2 linked regions of the Yarrowia lipolytica genome follow. The protein of the gene in region 2 interacts with the protein of the main gene of each other region in a biochemical or structural test. Links are inferred from orthologs where the notes say so. Each region holds a gene or a part of one and is shown on either strand. Other genes may lie near its edges.

What was found.
Region 1: the proteins of YALI1_E31351g (region 2) and YALI1_B16194g form a complex in vitro, tested with the Saccharomyces cerevisiae proteins (2 studies listed by BioGRID). The link is inferred for Yarrowia lipolytica from reciprocal best matches to the Saccharomyces cerevisiae genes ERB1 and YTM1.

What each region holds. Positions count from the first base shown.
Region 1 is NC_090771.1:1,617,057-1,620,962, forward strand, and holds YALI1_B16194g (uncharacterized protein), read right to left. Parts: upstream 2,345-3,906; coding exon 809-2,344; downstream 1-808. Other genes in the region: YALI1_B16239g (uncharacterized protein), read right to left, coding at 3,116-3,906. UniProt on the Saccharomyces cerevisiae protein: Component of the NOP7 complex, which is required for maturation of the 25S and 5.8S ribosomal RNAs and formation of the 60S ribosome.
Region 2 is NC_090774.1:3,131,915-3,137,009, reverse strand, and holds YALI1_E31351g (uncharacterized protein), read left to right. Parts: upstream 1-1,876; coding exon 1,877-4,339; downstream 4,340-5,095. Other genes in the region: YALI1_E31369g (uncharacterized protein), read right to left, coding at 36-77.

The sequences.
Region 1 (3,906 bases), on a different chromosome or scaffold from region 2:
TTTGCATATAGTTGGTGCTTGGCTCATATACACTGTGCAGTAGCACCGACACTACTGTCAGACATGATAAGGCTAAGGAGGCTGCTGTCAAGGCGTTGGCACTTCCAAATTCAGGTACTGTACCTACTGTAGAACGAGGTCGGTCTAAGGTTCTGTAATTAGGACTCCGTAACAGGTACGTCAAAACTTAGCTAACGTCATTCAAGAGTGTTTTTTCAAGAGTGTAGATGATAAATCAGATTTACAGTAAGTGAAGGAACCCCGCAAGGAAGGTGTCATCAGGAGGTCCATCAATAAAAGAATGTCTGATTTGGTTTGTTTGACGAAGAAAAATCTTCATGATTCTTGTCGATATGTGTTGGTGAATTTGCCCGTACAAGTACGAGTACTGTACGTACAGGTGTATTTGTATCACACCATGGAGGACCAATTCAGCAGTGATAAGAAAAAAACAAAAAAAAAGGAAGAAAAAAAAAAGACAGGAAACAAAGGCAATAACAACAACAGCAATATAATGTAATTGTACTTGTACCCGAGTGCCTGTTTTAGTTGCCCCGAACTTGTGCCTGTCACTTCCGGTAATGAACTATTAACCTAGCGTTGTTTGTACTTGTACTTGAGTTGTACCACGCGACGTGCACTCTTGTAGCTACAGTAGTTACAGTATAGATCGAGCACATAGGATAACTCATTTACGAAGTCAACCTGTTCCACTCTATCACAATATTACAAGTAGCCTACTGACACACCCTCTCCTCTATATCTACAATTACCTATACGTACATGATGCAAAAACCCCTGGGGTGCCTTAGGCGCTCTGGGGGTTGTTATTAATCTGGATCTTGTTGTCCTGGCCACCAGAGACAATACCCAGGTTTTGTTTCCAGTCCACGCCAAACACGGCATTGTTCTCTGTCAGAGTCTCTCGGTGGATCACGTGCAGAGACTTGGTGGTTCGAACATCCCATATTCGGACAGTTCCATCGTGAGATCCTGAAGCCAGCAGGAAGGGGTTGGATTCGGGTCCTCGCGACAGCGACGACACGAAGTTGGTGTGGCCCACCAGCTTGGCCTGAGTTGCCACCTGTGCAGTTACTCGGGGGTCGTGCAGGGTAATGTGACGGGCTGAAGAGCCGCAGGCAATGAGACCCTGGGGCAGGGTGCAAAGGGAAAGAAGCGAAAAGGAGGTGGATCGGGTATCGACCGAAGGATCGGGGGATCCGGCGTTGCTCTGGACAGCCTCGGCGGTGGCGAGATCCCAGGTTTTGATGGTGTGATCCAGAGACACAGAGTAGGCGACTGTGGGGTCGGAATGATGGAATGCGACGGCCGAAACGGCGGCGGAGTGGCCGCCCATGACTGCCAGAGGACCTCGCTGACGAGCAGCTCCCAGACCGGTGGCTCCAGAGCCGGAGTTGGCGAGCTTTCGTCGCTTCTGTGCAGAAGTGGAAGTCAGACCGCCAGCGGCAGCGGTATGGGGCTCAATTGCCGGCATGTCATTGTAGTCGGTAGACCACAGACCCACGGATCCGTCTGCGGAGGCGGAGATGATCTTTCCGGTCTTGGCGTGAACAGCAAGATCGTTGATGGGTGCGGTATGTCCATGTAGAGCTGCCATAGGGGTCACGGTAGAGGCGGCTGGAAGCTCATCGAGCATCTCCTCATCACTGTCCTCCTCACTGTCGTAGTTGAGCTCCTTCTTGCCCACCTGTCCAGGTTCCTTTCGTCGGTACTTCTTTCCGTCGGGGTTCCATAGGTACAAAAGTCGGTCGGAACCTCCAGAAACGAGCTGGTCATTAGAGATCCATCGCACAGCCTTGGCGGCGGAGTTGTGGCCCACAAGCTGGCCGGTCACATGACCCGAGTGGTCCCACAGACGCACGACTCCGTCGTAAGATCCCGAGGCGATGACGGGTTTCAGATCGCCAGTCCACCGGGCGTTGATATCGACAGCAGCGACCCAGTCGGGGTTGGAGAAAGAGGCCAGAAATGATGGAGGCAGCACAGATCGAATGTACTCGATCGACAGACTGACTTCGGAAGACAAACCGTTGTCAGCAAGGAAAGACTCCAGGGAGGCTCCTGGTCGTAGAAGCACCGAGGAAGAAGAGGCAGACTCCTCGTCGAGAATCGAAGCTCCTCCATCGCCGGCAGTAGCCTTCACAATGAGGAAATCAAGAGGAACAGGAGTCTCAGTGTCCAGCAGCTGGTTGACGATTTCAGACAGACCCAGACGCTTGAGGGAAGTAGGGACCATGACGGGAGGCAGGGGAGCCTCGGGCTGCAGGGTCTCGTCCCGGGTCACGAAGACCACCTTGACCGACTGCGATTCTTGGTTGGTCATCTCGGTAAAGTTGTGTGATGGGTTGTGTGTGGTGATAATAACGGTATGGTGATTTGTTTTGCCAGCTGCATTATTTTTTTTCCTGTATGCCGAGTTTAAATTTGTAGCCGTGGTTGGGAGGAGACATGGGCCTGGGAGGGTCTGAGGTTGGATCCAGAGAGGAGAGAGGGGAAGTGTTGTAATGTTGTAGTTGCTGTTGTGTTCTTAGTGTGAGGGGCAAAGTCGACGCTACCCAACCCTTTGTGTGCCTCAACCCCTGTTTGGAGCTCTTAATCACTACTCAATATTTTACACAGTACACACTCCATACAGTACAAGCATTCGTAGATAGCAAACTTTGAAGCAGAGATGAGTTGCGTCTTGATAATTACTGATCAGACGTTGATAGAGTGTAGGTAGCACAGTAGAAGGGATATATGGAAGGGCTTATAAATCACCCTAATCATAATAATTGGACAGTCGATCTTATTAAATTGTTCGTTCATCGCATCCCTTAGCCCTGCCAGTATGATCCCCGACGTCGCTTCAGCGTCACTCTACCAAACCCATCTGACACTTTTACAGTTCCAGGGTCCATCCCGAGACCGATGCCTGGGACACTGTACTGTGGACACTAAACTTACTGTAACTGAGACCTTGACAGTGAGATACAAAGATGGACTTTAAAAAACAGTAGTTTCTCATTTAAATGATCATAATACAATAAATTAATTAGATGATACAATTATACAGGCGTTCGCGTTTGCACAGACTTCTTCCGCTTGTTCGTGTTCATGCAGCCTGGGCCTGGGCTTGATGAATGGGAACCTCCCGGTCGGACCACCCATTCATCTGACGAAGAGCTGACTCTACCAGACTGTTGGGCTCAAATGAACAGGTGTCCTTGAGTGGCTGGCCTCGGTGAACAGGGTACTGCTTGAACCATAGCTTGGCAACTGCTCCACGGCAGTGGACACCCACAGTCTCAGCCACAGACTCAACGGCAGAGACCTGGTCGGGGAACAGACCAAACGCCTTGATGACCATATAACCAATAGCCATGAGCAGCACAGGCAGCCAGAAGGCAAATAACATGCGATCGTTAGCCATGGATCGTCGCTGTCGTCTCCAGGCCTCTACCAGCTGCTCCTCGTCCTCCACAATGGGGGCTAGTGGGGAGGGCACCACAGCGGCAGCCGCAGAAGTGGACGCAACTGCTGAAGATGAGGCTCCAACAGGCCCAGACGAGTTCTCGGCAGCAGAAGCAGCGGCCATCTGCACAACCTTCTTGTCGTGGACAACCCCATGGCCAGGGAAGATTTCTTCGTAGGCAGGGGGAGCACCGGCTCCGTTTGCATCTCGAGATCGAGACCGGGTGGCCTCATCGGCAGACGAGTTCTTCAGGTATCGCCACATTCGCGAGATGGACGAATGAGACCGGCCTCGACCGGCACCGCCGGAAGGGGCATGTGCAGAAATGGTTCGGTCGGACTCGTCTCCCGAAGACGTGATGGGATGGTCCGAAAGAGGCGATCTTGTGGATCTGACTGAAGGAGGAGCTCCAGAAGACCGCTTGTTGGGCA
Region 2 (5,095 bases):
GGGGTACATTAATTGATAGTATCGGCGTAACTCACAGGAATGAGGCAAAGGTCGGCAAGGCAGTGGAGTGTGGGCATGATGTTGTGTAATGTGTTGGGGTAGAGTGCATGAGATATGAGTATGTGGTTTATCATGTATATGAGTGTTGAATTGAGTTTGCCTTCGAACTGGCTGAGTAATCTGAAATATATACAGGAGCCTGAAATGTCTCAATTGTGGTTGAACACAGTTTATACGGTGCCTGGTGGCAATCATAGCAACCCCGAGTGTGTCGCAATTGCTCTCAAAAAAATAAGCTCTTCCACGGAAGGGCAAAAAGATGGCGACATCCGCAGGATTCGAACCTACGCGGGGAAACCCCAAGAGATTTCTAATCTCTCGCCTTAACCGCTCGGCCAGGATGCCATTTCGAACATAATATTTATTTTCTTGGGACGCAAACAACAGAACTCAGATGACTAAGCCGAATCATTAGAAAAAAAAAAAAAACGGTGATGAATCATTAGAATACAACAAAACAAAACAATACCACGAGACCACGACAAAGACAAGAACGAGACGAAGCGTCGACAAACCAACTGACGTGCGCCTCTCAGCGCACACCGCAATGATTCAGAAGTGTATGATTTATTGAACGCCAATAACCCGGCTTACAGCTTATTCTAATTTTTTTTTCTTCTTCACTACAGCTATATACCTACAGTATGTACTTGTAGTAAGCCGGGTTATTGGCGTTAAATAAATCATAAATCGTTTCGGTGTGCGCTGCGAGGCAGGGTTTTTTTTATTCTAATGATTCACGTTTTTTTTTTTATTCTAATGATTCATTATGTCACGTGATATATCTTTCCCATCATATAGGTCCAACCAAATTTATTGAATAACGGTTGCGGCCATTATCCTGGTGGGAAAAAATACGGCCTTCCCGTCCGATCAGCCATAGTCCAAGCACCAGGAGAGCCTAGTTAGGTATTGTAGTGGGGAGACCCATACGAGAATCCTGGGTGCTGCAATCTTTTTTTTCCCCTGATGGGAACTTGCACTGGAGTTTTGTGTGTCAATAGTCTTCAAAGGGCAAACAGTACAAGTAGCTACTCTTACATTTCTTCAACCAAGAAAACAACCCAGTCACTTCTCACCAAAATCATCCGAGGTCATGACGACACCAAGATTGTGCAGCCCCTCAAAGCGTTTTTATTGTGCTGACAGAACCTCGCTTGTAGAGTTTGACGTACGGGTGAGGTGGTGATGAAGAAGTGGTGTGCAAGTGGGATCCATATCGAAGTTGAGGCGTAAGACAGGATGGCCTAGGAAATTGGTCAGTCAATATTATAATCGGATGAACAATTTGAGAACGCCGTAATCCTCATATAGCTTTCAGATCAAGTATACGTTGTTGGAAGTCTACTGTAGTTAAGCACAGTCTAGTGGTTTTGTTGTGGGGCATTGGGGCGTGTGATATGACCTATGCACGAGTGAAAAAATGGGATATTTTATATGGAGATCATATCACAAGAAGCCAAGCTTGTATTGTTTTTATACCACCTACCTACTCTCAATGTTTGGTTATGGATGACATATATATCTCCTTTGTAAGGTAAGTGAGGTTACAGAGTTGCATGGAATTTTATTGTGGAGATGTGACGTTTGTGGGACCCTTCAAAAGAGGGGTTGTTGGTGAGATGTGTAAAATCTGAGCAGATCATAAGAATGGTGTTGGCTCAGATATTAATGTGGAGTACAAACTTCACCGCGTAAACCAAGTATAGGTGATGTCCACTTCTCCTCCTCGTCATAACCTGACTTTAACTTTGGACATGCATAGTAGACAATTTTTTTTAAATTGGATTTGCAACTTTTCGCACAGCACACAAAAATGGTACGAAGTCGTTCCAACTCCGTTAAGAAGGATTTGAAGCGCAAAGTCGACGAGCCTGTCGACGTGCAAGACGAGTTCGATGTCGAGGGACTCATTGATGAGGGCGACTCCGACGACGAGGATGAAGCTGAGCAGGAAGTGGCACAAGAAAATGTGACAAAGGACAAGAAGAACACCAGCAAGACTGAAAACGAAGAAGATGCCGACGATGAAAGTGACTCTGACGCCGAGCTTGAGGCACTCATCGGTGAAGAGGAGGATCTGTCTGGAAGCGAGCTGGAAGACGAGCTGGCTTACTTTTCTGATGCTGGAGACGACGAGGTCGACCCCTCGATTCTAAAGCATTTGGATGACGGAGTTCGTCTGCGATCTCTGTCTCGATCTTCCGACCAGACTGATGAGCTCAAGGACGTGGTTGAAATTGTGCCTGGAGCCGACGGCAAGCCTCGAATGATCAAGAAGGAAATCCATGCTGTCTACGACTCGGACGATTCGGACCAGGAGGAATCCAATACCATTGGAAACGTGCCCCTGTCTGCCTACGACCAGATGCCTCACATTGGATATGACATCAACGGTAAGCGAATCATGCGACCCGCTACCGGTTCTGCTCTGGACAACCTACTGGAGACGATTGATTTGCCCGAGGGATGGACCGGCCTGCTAGACAAGAGCACCGGAAAGGGTCTCAACATTTCCAAGGAGGAACTGGAACTCATCAAGCGGATTCAGAAGAATGAGACCACCGATGACGCCTCCAATCCCTACGAGGACCTGGTGGAGTGGTTCTCTTCCAAGACAGAGATCATGCCTCTGTCTGCTGCGCCCGAGCCCAAGAGACGATTCATTCCCTCCAAGCACGAGGCCAAGCGAGTCATGAAGATGGTGCAGGCCATTAGACAGGGTAAACTGCTGACAAAGCCCAAGGAGGACCCTGACGCCCGACCCAACTACGACGTGTGGGCCGACAACCTCACGGACGTCCAGGACCACGTCATGACTCTGCGAGCCCCCAAAATGCCCCCTCCCACCCACGACGAGTCCTACAACCCCCCTGCCGAGTATCTGCCCACCGAAGAGGAGATTGCCGAGTGGAATGCTCTTGCTCCTTCCGAGAGAGAGCGAAACTACGTGCCCAAGAAGTACACTGCTCTGCGACATGTGCCCGGCTACTCCGAGTCTGTTCGAGAGCGTTTCGAGCGGTCTTTGGATCTCTACCTGGCTCCTCGAGTGCGAAAGAACAAGCTCAACATTGATCCCGACTCTCTGATTCCCGATCTCCCCTCCCCCAAGGATCTCATGCCTTTCCCCATCAGATGTGCTACCACCTACAAGGGCCACAAGGGCAAGGTTCGAGCCATCTCTGTGGATCCCAGTGGAGAGTTCCTTGCCACTGGAGGCGACGACGGAACTCTTCGAGTTTGGGAAGTGCTCACTGGTCGAGAGCTGTACCGATGTCGTCTGGTGGCGTCCATTGATGCTCAGGATGACTCAGTCGAGTGTGTGCAGTGGAACCCCGCTGTCCCTGGCATGCTGGCTGCCTCTGCTGGTGAGCATATTTTCCTGATTGTGCCTCCCACGCTGTTTGACTTTGATATCGAGAACACCGGCCGAGAGAAGATTGAGCAGGGATGGGGTTTTGCCGAGGGAGGACGAGAGCAGCAGGATATCGATACCAAGGGTCTGGATGACGATGCTGACTCCGACTCGGACGACGAGACCGGTCACGTCAAGAAGAAGAGCCCTCCTGCCAAGTGGATCACCCCCACCGCCAAGCAGCAGGCCTCTGGTATTGGAGCCATCATTACCGCCACCAAAACCATCAAGCGACTCGCATGGCACCGAAAGGGAGACTATCTGGTCACTGTGGCCCCCTCGGCGCAGCACAGAGCCGTGGCCATCCACCAGATCTCTAAGCATTCGTCACAGTCGCCTTTCAATAAGTCCAAGGGTATTGTGCAGGACGCCATGTTCCATCCCTTCCGACCTCATCTGTACGTTGCCACCCAGCGATACGTGCGTATTTACGATCTGGCCAAGCAGGTCATGGCCAAGAAGCTTATGCCCGGTGCTAGATGGGTGTCTTCTCTGGACATTCATCCCCGTGGTGATAACGTGATCCTGTCGTCGTTCGACAAACGGCTTCTGTGGCACGATCTCGACCTCAGTGATAAGCCCTACAAGACCCTGCGATACCACGAAAAGGCCGTGCGGCACGCAGCATTCCACAAGGGTGGTCTGCCGTTGTTCTGCTCCGCTTCTGACGACGGTAATATTAACATTTTCCACGGCACCGTCTACGACGACATGATGACCAACCCTCTGCTGGTGCCTCTCAAGGTGCTCAAGGGCCACGATGTCAAGAGCGGTCTGGGTATTCTGCGGGTTGAGTGGCATCCCCGGGAGGCTTGGTTGTTTTCAGCCGCTGCTGACGGAACTGCAAAGCTGTGGACCACGTAAGGAGTGGTTCACAAGTGCGCGAGGATGTGTTGGAATCTTCCAATGGTGCATAGCAACAATGCTAGGAGGTAGCAAAGTTGTCGTTTAATAAAGATATTGATAGAACTGACGCCAGTAAAAGGTGCGAAGCATGAACTGCTCGGGCTTGACGAGTATGAGTACTTGTAGTACAAATAAGAGAAGTACAAGGTGTAGTGGGTGAAGAGTGAGTAGTGTGAGGGATATGGGGAGTACGAGCTGTGGTACAATACCGTGAAGCTGTAACACGAGAGCATGGTAGAAAAGTTGAAGCACTAGTAGGTCAGATCAAGTAGCGACAATGCCACAAATGCCCGTTTCCGTTTAGGTGGGCCCGCCAACTGAGCAGATCCCATAATATCGTTTCAAAGAGGGCTAAACTTCGCCAATGGAAATAGATCTGCATTAATCCAGACATATTTGTATGAGTGCAAGTAGAGGAAATATATATATATAGTATATATATATATATATTATATTGCTCAAATAGGGTGTGAAAGTCTGGAAAGATTGACATAGCTGCCACTCACCCTTGTCATAGTATTGTTCTCAGTAAATGATGGGTGCTGCCATCATTTGCAGTAGAGAAGTGCCACAATGTTTACAAGTCTTCCGAGTTACAAAGATTATAGAACAGTTCCAAGATAGTTATTTGTGCTTTTTAAAGTAACAGGTTCTCTATACCACTCCACGAGGGATATATCTACACATACAAACTACCAGTACAGTACATAGTGT